2 linked regions of the Notamacropus eugenii genome follow. The protein of the gene in region 1 interacts with the protein of each later gene in a pairwise test. Links are inferred from orthologs where the notes say so. Each region holds a gene or a part of one and is shown on either strand. Other genes may lie near its edges.

The links.
Region 2: the proteins of RNF5 (region 1) and YIPF2 interact in binary tests that used the Homo sapiens proteins (3 or more experiments, as listed by UniProt). The two-hybrid records come from large-scale screens. The link is inferred for Notamacropus eugenii from reciprocal best matches to the Homo sapiens genes RNF5 and YIPF2.

The regions. Positions count from the first base shown.
Region 1 is NC_092873.1:85,920,891-85,928,063, forward strand, and holds the start of RNF5 (E3 ubiquitin-protein ligase RNF5), read left to right. Parts: upstream 1-4,173; 5' UTR 4,174-4,230; intron 4,231-4,277; exon of another isoform or gene 4,278-4,477; 5' UTR 4,478-4,524; coding exon of another isoform or gene 4,525-4,577; 5' UTR 4,578-4,630; coding exon 4,631-4,770; intron 4,771-7,173. Other genes in the region: AGPAT1 (1-acyl-sn-glycerol-3-phosphate acyltransferase alpha), read right to left, coding at 3,376-3,445. UniProt on the Homo sapiens protein: Membrane-bound E3 ubiquitin-protein ligase that mediates ubiquitination of target proteins. May function together with E2 ubiquitin-conjugating enzymes UBE2D1/UBCH5A and UBE2D2/UBC4.
Region 2 is NC_092875.1:79,086,476-79,094,083, reverse strand, and holds the start of YIPF2 (protein YIPF2), read right to left. Parts: upstream 3,010-7,608; 5' UTR 2,880-3,009; intron 2,863-2,879; exon of another isoform or gene 2,777-2,862; intron 2,695-2,776; 5' UTR 2,659-2,694; coding exon 2,628-2,658; intron 1,972-2,627; coding exon 1,826-1,971; intron 1,744-1,825; coding exon 1,663-1,743; intron 1,225-1,662; coding exon 1,137-1,224; intron 999-1,136; coding exon 882-998; intron 748-881; coding exon 581-747; intron 505-580; coding exon 322-504; intron 236-321; coding exon 131-235; 3' UTR 123-130; intron 1-122. Other genes in the region: TIMM29 (mitochondrial import inner membrane translocase subunit Tim29), read left to right, coding at 3,134-3,242, 3,322-4,046.

The DNA.
Region 1 (7,173 bases):
GTTCAACATTAATAAAAACATGGACATAGATGAGAGCCTGTAACACATGTACTCATTCACATGTCATATGAGTACACAGTGACAAAATATAGCGGTACTATGGATGTTACATAGACATATGGGCCAGGCCAAACATAGGAAGGACATGCAAATATATATGCAAATGCTATGGGTTTTCTGTGTGTCTGGAGGTCCGTTACCCTCTACAGGGGCTATGTATATGTGATTTCCTCAGGAACACACATATCTAAGGATATCCAGAGGATATCCAACCATATGAGATTGCCAGATGTGTTACATAAACATGTGATTTATAAAACATTACAGGAAGGAAATGGTGAAATAGATGTTATATGAACAGAAATGCAATGCCAGTAGAACATAAGACATAAGTGCTCAAGCAATGCTAGGACTTCCTTAGCAAAACACATGCAGTAAAGTGGATTAATACACCATGAAGATCTGTGTTAAGAATAAATAAAATCATGGAATCAGCTACCTGAAGGCAACCCCAAGGGACAAGAATCACAGATTCAGCAAATGAACCAAAACAAAACACCATAGGCACAGCGTACAAACAGAACATGTGAAGACAACTACCTTGGCAGTGACGATCACTGGCAAAGCACATGAACAGAAACACACAACTAATATGCAACAGAAAGATCTGAGAAAGTAGGCAACATTTGAACATACAGATGCGTAGGGTATGTACATTATACTCCAAATGGATATGACACAAGGGACAGGCCATATTGCACTATAGCCAGCCTTCCCAAAGGGGAATGGATACAACATCCAGCTAATGTGAGGACATTTGCCATGACCATGGATCATATGGGAACATATTCAACCAACACAGCCCACTGTCTAAAGCATGCACACTCAATGGAGAAAACAAGGTAACACACAAGACACACGTGTGTCAGGAAGGGCCTAACATGCACACAGGATATGTAGAGACCTTAGGCTCTGTGCATGGAAATAGAGGGGTGTCCTGGTATGATCCTAGCAACCAATATTCTCTTGGAGGAGGAGTCAGGAATGTAGTTTATAATCTACACTCCTTCCAAGAGATACAAGGGGCAGAAAGAGGAACTGGGGGTGGGGTGTAGCGAATTCCTCTCTCCCCTCACCAGTACTCCTCATCCTCACTCACCCCATCACTATCCCCATCACTATCCCCTTAATTAGGCCAGCCCCCCACTCACCAGGCCTCAGCCCCTCCCTCCTCCATCCCTTTTCTCTCTGTCTGGATTCTCTCCATCTTTCCCAGCGGCTCCTCTCCCAAGTCTACCTTACACTCTCTCTCCCCAGACCCCATTCTCCACCTCCATGACCTCCCAGCTCCCTCCTCCCCCGACCCATCTCTCACCCCCCTTCCCCAGTTCCATCCCTCCCCCACCTCAGTGGGGTAGGGGGCCTAGGGGGCCGGCCCCCTCCCCAGCCAGGCTGCGGCAGCGGTGGTGGCGGCTGTGTCTCTGTCTCTGGTGGGGAGTCGGTGCCAGGGGGCCCTCAGGGTTTGGGGGTGTCCTAGCCCCGGCTGGTGGAGGGGCTGTGGGAGTGGGGGGCCGGACCCATAGTGGTGAGAATGGTGGGAGGGGGGGTGTTCCCCGCTCTCTCCCTCCCTCCCTTACTGCTGTCTCTCTCTCGGAGGGCTGGGGCTGCCGAAGCTGCTGCTGCTGCCGCCCCCCCCTCCCCACCAACGCCTGCTTGTTTCCGGGGCCGGCCAGGAAGTGGGGGGTGGTGACAGGCGGGCTGTCTTGCCAATAGCCTGGACAGGGACCCAAGCATTCCCTCCCTCCAGCTTTTAGCCCTCCCTGCCTCATCTTTTTCCTGCTAGCTCCTCCTGCTGAGGCTTCTGCCTTACTCCTTCCAGCTGTCTATCTTTCATAACCTGTTTTTTTTCTGGCTCTGGTTCCAGTCCTTCCCGGCTTTCCCTGCTCTTCTATCTCCCTCCTTCCACTTCTCTCAGCTTTCTTCTCTCTGTCCTTTAGGCTCCCTTTTCTCTTTCCCAATTCTTCCATTCCTCTGCTTCTCACTACTCATCATCCTTTTTTATTAGCTGCCTCGCCCTTTCAACTTCATCTTGGCCTCTCCCATCCTTATCTCTCTTTGTGCCTCCTAATCTTTTCCCTGTCTCGTGGCTGACCTCTTCCCTACTCCCCATTATCTCACTATGGTCTCTCAGAACACTAGCCAGGTCCTCCCCTTCCTTCATCTTGCCCTCTTCTCTGATCCTTCTACCTTCCTTGCCGACCTCCTCCTTTTCTTAATTCCCCAATTCTCTTCTCTCTTCCCTTCCTAGCACCTTTCCCACAGGGTCTCTCTTCTTTAGCCAGGCTGCCCTGTCATCCCAAAGATGAATTGTATATGCTTTCTCCACCACTGAGATCAGGTCACCATTATTCCTTCCTTCTATGGGCAGACCATGCAGCTTGGGGTGGAATGGGGAGCCGACACTAACTCCTTAAGGTTGTCATTCCCAGTTTCTAACACTTGTTTTCTGGAAGCTCAACTACATCCCTAGCCCTGGCTTCCCACACTTATTTCATCCCACTTGGCACTCCTCTACTGCCTCAGCCTCATCCCTTTCACTCAACTCTCCTTTCTATCTCTTTCAAAAAACACTGCCACCACCTTCCCTTCTTTTCCTTGATGTGTCTCCTGGCCCTGTTTTCTCCCTCTCTGATAAGAGCCCTACCTTCAACTAACCAGCTCCATCAACTTGGGGATAGCCCTTTCCTGCTTTCTTTTTACTTTCCAGTTCCCTCCAGATGTTGTGGTTCTCCTGGATTCTTGCCCCCAGCTGTCTTGGTTTCCCTCTGAGGGCCCCTGTCTGGTCTGTGTCCTCTCTCCCATAGAACCATAGAACATAGAATGTCGGAGCTGGAGGCAGCCTTGGAGACCACCTACCCTCATTTTACAAAGACCCAAGGAAACTGATGCCTAGGGAGACAACAGCTGGGTGGAGATCACAAGCTTCTCTACTGCCTCTCCCTCTCCATCCCTCCAACACCCCCCCCCAACACACACACACACAATTAACCTAAGTCTCTCACTGGCTACGCCTTCAAGCCAGGGTTGGAGGAGAGAGACTGGAGATGGGATGGGTGAGAGCAGGGGGAGAAAGGGTGGGCTATTACCAGGTTGCTGTGCTTGGGCCACAAGGAGGAGGGAGACTCACTTGCCCAAGCCTGGCTGCCTGCACCAGGCACCTGGGCCACGCTGAGCCGGAGCAGGTAGGGGAAGGGCACCCTGCCCAGGAAGAAGACCCCAGTTCTGCTTGGTAGGTCACAGGGAGGAAGGGGCGGGTCTAATTCTAGCCCTGCAGATCATGGCAGAAACAGTAAGAGTATCGCAACTAGACAGGACCTTGGAGATCATCCAAAGCATGATGGAGACAAGACCGTCCAGCCCCTCTTTCCACAGCTGACGACGACATTGGATCTGGGGGAAGTCCAGTGACTCCTGGGCTCACCCAAACAGTCAGAGCCTGGGCTAGGGTTTGAACCCAGGTTCTCTCACTCCAAATTCGGCTCTCTTTTTCCACGGCAGCACACAAGTTGAACTGGAGCGAAATTCATTTCTGCTCTGTGCGTCATCGAAGAAAGGAACCTGGAGAGTCGAGTTCCGCTCCGTGGGTCGGCTAAGACTAAAGGGGACCGAGTGCGTGTGCGCTCGTGGGATGGGGGTGGGGAGGGAAGGGGGTTATAAGCCAGGAGATGGATCTGTGACGTCACGGACATGGGGCCAATCGCCCTTCTCCTGGCCCGACATCTTTGTAAAGGGCGCCGGGCGAACTCAGATTCGGTTTCTTACGTCACCGAAACGGCGGAAGCCATTTTGAACCCGGTGACTAGCATATGTCTCTTTGCTCCCAATCCTAATCTTCGAGGTCTAGAGTAACCAATCAAATTCGAGGGTTGGGTGCAAGGGACGAGGGGGGAAGGAACTTAAGGCTAGGGTGGTGGCCAAGTCAGGACCAATTGCGATCCGGGAGCTATAGCGACAAGAAGACGGCGAGGAAGGGGCGGGTCCCGAGAAGCAAAGCCTCCTCCGGATAGGTCCGTCCTATCCCTCACGTGCGCGCTTGCGACCATCTCCTAGCCAACCGGCTGCTTCGGAACTTGCGCGTTCCTAGTCCAATAGGATCTCGAGGAGGATCCTTTTCAAGAGAAGAGGAAGTGAAGAAAGGACGGGGGCGGAAGTTGGATAGGTTATTAGTAGGTAGAATCTACGTCCTGGAGCCAGTTCAGCACGACACTTAGCAATGGGGGACAAATAATGGTGATGACAGGGTGGACCCTCCTTCACCGCGGACAATGGGGTCTGCCAGGGCGCGTTTTACGGCTAATCCTATGACGCAGCCTCTTGACTGGCGACTACCTTGGCCAATAATCACTGTTCAAGGGCGGGGCAATACGTGCCTCTCCCTCCCCAGACTGTCGTCCAATCCTTTCCTTCCGAACCCTAGGTGACTGGTGGGCAGGATCACCAATGGAGTCTCGAAGACCTTGACGGATGACCAATGGGCGCGAGCAGGGGGGCGGGCTTTTCGGACCATCGGGGCTTGTGTATGTGTTTCGTGGGGGAAGACCTGGGTTGCGGGGGCAACAGTTGAGGGGCCATGGCAGCGGCCAGGAAGGAGGACGGGGGCTCCGAAGGGCCAAACCGCGACCGGGGAGGGGCAGGTGCGGCCTTCGAGTGTAACATCTGTCTGGAGACAGCGCGGGAGGCGGTGGTCAGTATGTGCGGCCACCTGTACTGGTGAGAGCCCCGGGACACACCCCCACACCCCACACCCCCACTCCCACCGTAGTGGTGAGAACCCCGGGACATGTACTCATACCTCCACCAGAGCCCCGGGACACGCACCCTCACACACAGACACACACACTCAGGTACACACTCTCTACCCCTGTACTAGTGAGGGCCCCGGAACACTCCTCTCTCCCATACCCTCCCACACACTCACCTCTTTACTGGAGAGAACTCTGGGACACGTGCATAGCTCTCAGCCTCTCTTGGACCCCAGAAACTACCCCCACCCCATTCCCAATATACACCCATTCTGGGATACATATGCCCACACACATACACACACACACTACATATATAAATACATACACACACATATTCCTAATGGAGAGAGCCTTAGGAGACAGGCATATATACTCCTCTAATATGTACTGGCCACACTGTCATTAGTCTTATGTTGACACGGGATTGCAGCACATCCACAACACACATTCTTCCTGGTACTGATGTGAGAGCTCCAGGAGACAGACACATATGTTTTAGTACTGTATTAGTACTGATGAGAACCTCAGGATATTCCCACCCAGAGTCCTACCTGTACTGTCAACAGCCCCAGGATACCCACCTACAAATCTTATATCTTCACTGGTGAGAATATCATGAAAACACACACACACTTTTATACTGGTGTGTGATATATGTATGTATGTGTGTATCTCTCTTGCTCTCTCTATATACATATATATATATGAAATACATATTCTAAGAGATATATCCTACTCCTAGCTGCATCCCTGTCTAAATAATGCTGACAGCATCAGGAAATGCATACACACCCACAGACATTTCCCAGTGCCCTGGGACATTCACACATACATATGTTTTACTGACAACTTTATATGTATACATATATATGTATATATGTGTGTGTATACACACACACATACGCACATACTAGTAGAGCTGTTGACAGCTTGGGATCACATATCTTTGCTTTGATAGCTGAGAATACAGACATATACACACCTGTACTCCAGTGGAGGGGAATGGGGAAAAAAATGACACACCTGGGATGCACAACTAATCTATATTAATAAGGAGGGATAACAACTGAATAAATAATTATTAAATATCCACAATGTTCAGAGTAACATGTTAGTAGGTAGGTGTTGGGGGAGATACAAAGTTTAGAAAAGACATGGTTCCTGATTTCATGGAGCTTCCAGGGGGATATGACATGCATGCGGATATTATATGAAATAATATACAAATTATATATGAAGAGTGCATGAGAAGTTCAAAACAAAGTGCTATGTGAATGTGTTATTGCTGGAGGGTGACAGTAAGTGAAGGCGGGTGTTGGGTTTTAAAAATAAGTAGTCATTCCAGTAGTTGAACTTAGAGGCCTATGGGATAGGGTGAGCAAATATGTAGAGCTGTGATAGCTAGCAGTCTAGTTTTGCTGGAGACTAGAGTACACAGAAGGTAATGCAGTGAGATTAGATTGGAAAGATAGGTTGTTTCCAAACTGTAGAAATCCTTGAATTCCAGGCAGAGGTTTTAGGGAGCCACTAAAAATTTTTGAGCAGAGTAGTGACCAGTAGAAGACTGGTCTGTAGTAGTAGGAGGATAGATGGCTGGAAGTGGGAGAACAATCTGTATTGAGGGAAGTAATGGCAATAAAGAGGAGGGCATTGTTGAAAGAAAAGGTATAGATGTAAAAGTCAGTAGCACTTGTTTACTGATTGGATATGACAGGTGATAAAAAGGAATTCTAATTTTGAATACGGGAGACTGTATGAATGACATTGACAGATTTAGTGAAATCTACAGGTTTGGGGGGGAAGATAGGATCATGGGATTTACAGCTGAAAGGACCTTAGAAATCATTTAGTTCAAGTCTCGTTTTACTGATAAGGAAACAGATACAGTTAAGTCAAATGTCTTGCGCAGAGTTTCACAGAAAACAGGCCAGCACAGATTCAAACCTGATTCCTTTGACTTTAAATCTGTTTCTGCTACATAAATGAACTTAGATTTAACTAAAAATCATTGAATTGGAAATTTTGGTCTGATAGGCAGATGCAGAGCTATTTGTGTAGTTGTAGATATAGTTAAGGAAGAGATACCAGGGCTGGAGATATGGATTTGGGGATCGGTCTTGTAGAGGTGATAGCTTAAGCCATGAGTGATTAAAATTGCCAAAGGTGAGAGAAGAGGGCCAAGAACAGAATTTACCTTGAAGGGTTGGGAAGAGGAGCCAGCAAAGAAGACAAAGAAGGCATTATTAGAGGTAGGAGGAAAATCAGGGGTGTGTGGTGTCTCTGAAGTCAAGGGAGGAGATAGGTACCCTGGGCTTACTTAGTGTAACTGAGCTATTGCATTTTTTAATGTCACTTTGAGAGATCAGTT
Region 2 (7,608 bases), on another chromosome or scaffold:
TCCTATTAAAAGGGGTGTGAAGCTAGTCTCTCAAGGAGTCACCTGTGAAACTTCTGTCCCTCCCCTGGGGGGGGTTTGCTTTGTGACCACATCTCTCCTTAGATGATGATTATTCTGCTTACCTCTTCTCCTAGGAGGCTGCAGAAGTCTTGGAGGAGCCAGGTGGTGTGACCTGGTGGAGTGGGGCTTGGGTCACAGGAACGGACCTTGAAGGCAGGAACTGGAAAAAATATAACTAAAGCAAGAAGTCTTGAGTCAGTGCTGAGGCTACAGGCCATTCCAGCCTGCCAGTTCCTCTATACCCTAGACAGCTGGTGCTACCTTGCAGCCGATGGCCAGGAGGCCGTGGAGGGCAACCATGACTGTAAGCAGCACAGCTGATACCACCTTGGTGTCTGAACGGACGAGAGGCCAGAAGGTGAGCAGGAGCATAGCCCCTGAAAGTGACACAGCCGTGACCCCAAGAAACCACTGAAGCCCCGAGATAGGGATCAGCCATAAGACCTGAGAGGGAGAGAGAGAGGCTATAGACTTCTGTCAGTATCTAATACCCCCAGCCCAGCCCCCAAGCCACCCTCACCACAGTCGGGATGTAGATGAAGAGGGAATATCCGTAGACACACACAATCTCCAGAAAGGTGTAGCAGCTCATGTGTTCCCTGACCCCCTTGCGCCACTGCAGAAAGCCCCATAGTGCCGTTGGTACCAGCCATGCGTAGCAGTAAATGGTGATCCCTGCAACAGTAACTGGGAGAGAAAACCCAAACCGTACCTGCTAAAGGCCAAGTAGCCCTCTAGTGCCCTGCAAGGGCCCCAGAACAGGCCCCAGAACAGGCCCCAGAACAGGCAGGTCTGCTGCATCCTTGAGCAGGCTTGCTCACCTTTATGAAACTGTGGGCTATAAGAAAAGGAAGAGTCTCTCCAGTTCTGCAGCAGGGTGGCCAGGTTGCTGCTCACAGCTAGTGTAAAGGCCAGTGTGGCACATATCCAGAAAGGCCCTAGGGAAGGAGTGGAAATAAAGTGCAGAATGTACATTAGATCCCTGAGAACTGCACCTCCCCAGCCCAGACAGAAATAGATCTGTACCCTGCCTCTAATTTCAAATCCTTTAGTTAGTGGAATTAAAACAGCTTTACCATATAGGTCTGGATGATGTCGAAGACGGTGTCTCACAAAGTTCTGGCTAGGAATTGGCAGCACTGAACTTCTGATCCTCTCCAGCACCTAGGATGGAAAAAAAGCACCCACCCACCCACCCACCAAAATCAGAACACTTAAGTGCCTATTAACATGTAGGGAGGTCATTGCTAGTACAAGGATGAATAGAAGTCCCTGCCTTTGAGGAATTTCATCAGAGGGGATCTATGTATACAAATAAGCACAGTATGAAGCCATAGCCTATCATGATAAGGACAAAAGGTGCATCCAGAAAGAGAATGTGTGCGTGTGGGGGGGATGTTGGGAAGGATCATTTTCAGCTATGTGGATCAGGAAAAGGAGCAGGGAAAAGAAGGTGGCACCTTCAGTACAAGCCTGTTGGGGGTAAGTGCACAAATACCAGCGGGCTTGATCAAAACAAATAAGCCTTTATGTTCTCCAGAAGCCAGTAAGGAGGGGCCTTCACTTTCCCACCTTAAGTGTGAACTAGCCTCAGGCCTTCACCTGATGGGTATCCACATCAAAGAAAGACTGGTGGTAGCTGAAGGTCCAGAAGTTTGGAGGTTGTTTCTCACCCCCAAGCAACTATAAGAGAAATGGTCAAAGGTGTGTCCTCTGAAGGCTCCCAGCTGGGTAACATAGAATTTCCAGGAAGGCCTAAACTCACCTGAGTCTGATCATTCTCTTCCAATTCTCCATCTTCTTGGTCCTCCATGTCCACAGCCAGGCTCACATGGCTCTGCAGTTCCCCAAGACTGGAGACGGTAGTAGCCCCTGGTGTCTCAGCCAGCAAGTCAGCAGCCATCTCAAATTCTGTAGATGTGACCAGTCCCATCCAGGCGACCCCTCCCCCCAAACTAAGAGCTGGCCATTGGTAGACCACCCTTCAGGTGCCCAAATTCTAGACCTCCATTCACCATGCCAGCCAGCCATTAATCTGTCCTTCCAGTTCAGATATGGAGTTGGGGATGAAGAGGAAGCCTGCCTGACAGTGCTGGGCGGGGGTAGGATGGGGAAGGTCCATGCAGGACAAGAGCATCAGCTAGGTAGCAAAGTGGACAAATCGCTAAGACCGGAGTCAGGAAGACCTGATTTCATATTTTGCCCCTAACACTTACTAGCTGTCACCCTGGGCAAGTCACTTAACCTGTTTGCCTCAGCACCTACCTTCCAAGGTTCAGAGAACCAAATGAAATATTTTTAATTAAAATACTTGGTACGGTGCCTGGACGTAGAAGGTGCTATAGAAATGTTAACTACTATCACTAGGAATAACCTCAGGTCTGGGTTCCAAGACGGGGCTGGGGAAGGGAAGGTCAAGGACAAAAGGTCCCTTGCGGGGGCAGGAAAGACGGGGATCTCTGAGGGAAGAGAATAGGGGTCTGGAATGCCTGGGGAGGGTCAGGGAGAGAAGACGGGTCCGGCGTTTGGATGGTCGGGGGAGGAGGGGTTGGGAGCTGTTCACTCACCGTGGAAGGTGAGCTCTTGGGGCGCAGCCATGGCCGGCGCTCTCACCACATCTCCAGCCTTGCGCCCCTGCGGAGACAGGTCGGGGGGTCAGGCAGCAAAGCCCCTCCCCCGGATCTAAAGCCTCGGGAGCCCGGCTTACTCAACCCACCCCTCCAGCTGTCGGCCAGCTGCGTGGAACGCCTCCTCTACGCCTGCGCCAGCTGGATCCGGGTCGAGCCCACTTAGTCCGAGGCAGGGGAGACAAGGCTTACCGCTTGCCCTGCCTGTCCTCCTCCGCGTGGTGGCGCTGCTTGTGGACGTCCAGATGGTACAGCCGGGTGCCGGGATGCTAACACTCTTGTCACCTTCCCCCGCCGCCCCCTTCTACACGTGAGCGCTTCCCTTATTCCCCTCCGGTGGGGAATCGTTTCCGGTAGCGCCTTGGCTCGAACCCGGTGACGCTGCAGTGTCGCGGCGAGGGGAATGTTTCCTTCCGGACCGTGGGGAAGTACGGAGCAGGAAGACGATGGTGGCCGCCGTACTGTGGAGGAGAGTGTACTCTAGCGGCGCCGCCGCCGGAGCGGGAGCGGGCCCCGGCGGGGGCGTAGCCAAGCGGCGCGTGTGGGAGCGGCTGGGTGAGTAGGGCCGGGACCGGGGGGAGGCCGGGGCCGGGGGGCCGACGTCCCGGGCGCTCACGCCGCCTCTCGCCCGCAGGCTCGTGGGTTCGCGGGCTCCTGCACGACTACGCCGAGGCGTGCGCGGACGCGGCGGCGGCGGCGCGGGAGCGGCCCGTGCGGGCGGCGCTGTACGCGGGGCTGCTGGGCGGGGCGGCCGCCTGCGCCCTTCGCACCCCGGAGGAGGCGTCCTTCGAGGAGGCGCTGCTGGACGCGTCCGGGACCCTGCTGCTTCTGGCGCCCGCCACCCGCAACCCCGGCTCGGAGGCGCACGTGCAGCGGCTGCTGTGGCTGCGGGGCCGGGGCCGGCTGCGCCACGTCCACCTGGGCCTGTGCTCGCTGCTCTACGAGGCGCCCTACGACCCCGAGGCCAGCCTGTACCAGGCGCGCTGCCCGCACCTGCAGCCCCGCTGGGCCGACTTCCCGGGCCGCGTGCTGGACGTGGGCTTCCTGGGCCGCTGGTGGGTGCTGAGCGCCAAGATGCGCGACTGCGACGTCAACGACGACGAGTTCCGCCACCTGCCGCCGCACCTGCGCACGCTGTCCGAGGACCAGCTGCGCTCCGAGGTCAACGAGTGGCTCTTCAGCCAGAAGTACCTGCCGGCCGTGCTCACGGAGGACCAGGTGGACCAGGCCCTGTGGGAGGAGCAGGTCCTGCAGAAGGAGAAGAAGGAGCGGCTGCTGCTGAGCGAGGCCGGCCCCGAGGGCGTGCCGCGCGCGGGGCTGAGCGCCGAGTGGCCGAGGGAGGGAGCTTCGGTGAAATAAACTGGTTTTTCCTCTCTTCTCTCTTTCCCATCTTTTTTTCCCTTAAACGAGTTGGTACAGTTTGGTGCACCAGGTAAGTGGAGTTGCTTTGGTTGTCCTTAGGGACAATCCAGGTTCTCTGGCCCCTTTCTTACCAGTCAGTTTGGAGGAAACCAGCTGCCGCAGGAAGATGGTCAGACGCAGAGCTCTGTATCTTCCTCCTCCCCGCCACTGCCTCCGACCCTCTTCAGGGTCTTCATTGTCATCAAGGCTACCAGCACCCTCCCAGTCGCTCAGACTTGTCCTCCCCTCCCCCCCCAAGCCAGTCATTTGCTCAGACCTCTTGCCTTCTTAACCTTTATATGTCTCCTCTTCCCTGAGGCCACTGCCACCAGGTAGAACAGATTATCACCTCAGGACCTGACTGCTGCCCCAAGTGTATCCCGACTTCAGTCAGTTCTCTACTCAGCTGTCACTTGGATCTGTAAGTACAGATCTGACACTGTGTCTCTCACTTACTCTCACACACGCTCCTCCCTTGCAGTAAACTCCTTTGGAGTCTTCGCTTCAAGGAACAATATTATAATTCATTGTTTGGCTTCTAAAGTCTTTCATAATTTGGCCCCGTCCTACCTCTTCTTATACCGGTGCTTGGAGCTCTCCTCACTCTCTACATCTCCTGGTTTCTCTGACTTCCTTCAGGTTCCCCGTTGTCTCCTCCATTAGACTGAGTTCCTTGACAATAAAGGCTGTTTCTTGCCTTTCTTTGTATTTCCAGCCTTAGCACAGGGGTGGGGAACCTGCGGCCTCTAGGTCCTCAACTGCAGCCCTTTGAATCCAAATTTCACAGAACAGTTCCTTTTATTAAAGGGCTGCATTTGAGGACCTAGAGGGCCACATGCCACTTGGAAGGGCACAGGTTACCCACCGCTGTCCTAGCACATAATAAGTGCTTAACACATACCTGTTGACCAACTCCTCACAAGTTATGTTGAGCTGGTGTTCAGTCAGCCAGTCAAGAAGCATTTATCTTTACTATTTGATAAGCGGGACTGTGCCCAGATGCTGGGAATACCATGAATGGCAGAAGACAGGTTCTGTTTTCAAGGAGCTTATGGTCTACTGCGGGGAGATAACTTGCAAATGACTATGTAAAAACAAAATGTATGCAATGTAAAGGAAGTGATTTCTTAACTAACGGTTAATGGAAATAATGACAAATGGAAGTGGTGGTTAAGCACCGGGTGGAGGCAGACCGAGAAGGGTCTCCTGCAGAAGGTAAGATTTGAACTGAGCCTTGAAGGAATCTAGAAAGCAGAGATAAGCATCCCAAGAAAAAGACTTTTTAATTCCTCAGGTATGATCTTAGGCAAACTATCTGGTTTCCCAGGGTTTCAACAGTGAAGGGGTTATATACTACATGATCTCTGAGTACTCTTCCAGATTTCAGCTCTCTGCACAACACTAGAAGCAAGAACTTAACCCCCTGAGTACACCATTATCTTTTGAGATAATCTCTTTCAAAGACAGATAGTGCTAACATTTATTCTGACTGTTTATGCATTTTCTTGACCTTTCCCAGGAGTCATTATATGCCTCTACTTTTAAGTACCATCACTATTTTCCTTCTGTTTTAACTAGAAATCCCAGCAGAGGGTAGTAGAGATTCAGGGAAAATCAGTTGTACCTAGGGTTACTTTACCATGGAAGCTAATTACTTCTTAATGGTGTGTCTTTATGGAGCCATTGCTACTGCTACCACCTGCTGGGAAGTTGAGCTGGCTTAGAGTGGGGTCTGCCCTGGGAGTCGAATGGGAATTTAGGTGAAGTGAGAACTATTTATACAAAGTAAACATAAAGTGGTTCTAGAAGGAAGGCTTTAGATAGCAAGGGGCATTTGAAGGGAGCTAGGGTTCCGGATATGGGGGGAATAGTCTAAGCAAAGATGGGAGATAGGAATAGAATTTTGTGTAAAGAACAGAAACTAGGCCAGTTTGACTATAATGTAAAATCAGCCTGGAAAGGTCATTTGAAACGAGTCAGTGAAGGGCTCTGAAGAACCTGTCCTCGAAGCAGCAGGGAGGCACTGGAACTTTTTGAGCAGGAGAATGATGTAGTCAAAGCTGTGCTTTAGTAATATTACTTAGTATTTATCTAGGGGGCAGTTGGAAAAGCAATCAGCCTGTCTGACTGTACCTTTGTACTATACCTTTGTCAGAGTTGTCTCTATGTCATCTTCCTTGAATGGATGAAAAGTATTTTTTTAAATTAAATTATTTTGTTTTCAGTGTTCAACATTCACTTCCATGTGTCTTAGATTTTTTTCTCTCCCTTTTCCCCCTTCCCTCTCCACTCCCTCCCTGAGATGGGCGTACAATCTTTTTTTTTTAATTAAATTATTTTATTGGTTTTCAGCATTCGACAGTCACTTCCATATATCTTGCATTTTTCCTCCCTCCCTTCCCACTCTCTACCTGAGGTGGCATACAGTCTTATTTGTAAGTCCTACACATACTTTTCTATTCAATACATGTTGCATAGAAGAATTAAAATGAATGGGAAAAACCATAAAATAAAATGAAACAAAAACATAATACAAAAGTAAATGGTCTGTTTCTATCTGTGATCCAATTTCATAGTTCTTTCTCTGGATTTGGAAGGTGTTTTGCCTCGAGTCCATTGGAAATTTTTTAAGTCCTTGCATTGCAATGAAGTTCGAAGTCTACCACAAAAGTTCCTCATACACTGTGGTTGTTGCTGTGTACAAAGTTCTCCTGGTTCTGCTCCTTTCACTCAGCATCAGTTCATGTAAGTCTTTCCAGGCCTCTCTGAAGTCTTCCTGTTCATCATTTCTTATAGCACTATAGTATTCCCTTACATTCATATACCACAACTTTTTTAGTCATTCCCCAGTTGATGGGCCTCCCCTTGATTTCCAGTTTTTGGCTAGAAAAAGAGCTGCTATAAATATTTTTGAATATGTGGGACCCTTTCCCATATCTATGATATCTTTGGGAGAGAGTCCCAGAAGCAATATTGCTTGCTGTGTCAAAGGGTATGCACATTTTTGTAGCCCTTTGGGCATAGTTCCAAATTGTTCTCCAGAATGGCTGGATCAGCTCACAGCTCTACCAACAACGAATTAGTGTTCCAACTCTCCCACATCTTCTCCAGCATTTATCATCTTGCTGTTTTGTCATGTCTGCCAATCTGACAGGTGTGATGTACCTCAGAGTTGTTTTGATTTGCATCTCTCTAGTCACTAATGATTTAGAGCGTTTTTTCATATGATTATCGATAACTTTAATTTCTTCCTCTGAAAACTCCCTGTTCATGTCCTTTGACCATTTATCAGTTGGGGAATGACTTGTATTCTTGTACATTTGACTCAGTTTTCTATATATTTTAGAAATAAGGCCTTTGTCACAGATACTAGTTGCAAAAATTCTTTCCCACTTTTCTGCTTCCCTTGAAAAGCATTTATTATGCACTTATTAGGTGTCAAGTATTGTGTTCAGCACTGGGAATGTAAATGCCAAGATAGCCCCTGTTCTCTGGGAGCTTGTATTCTAATGGGCAACAC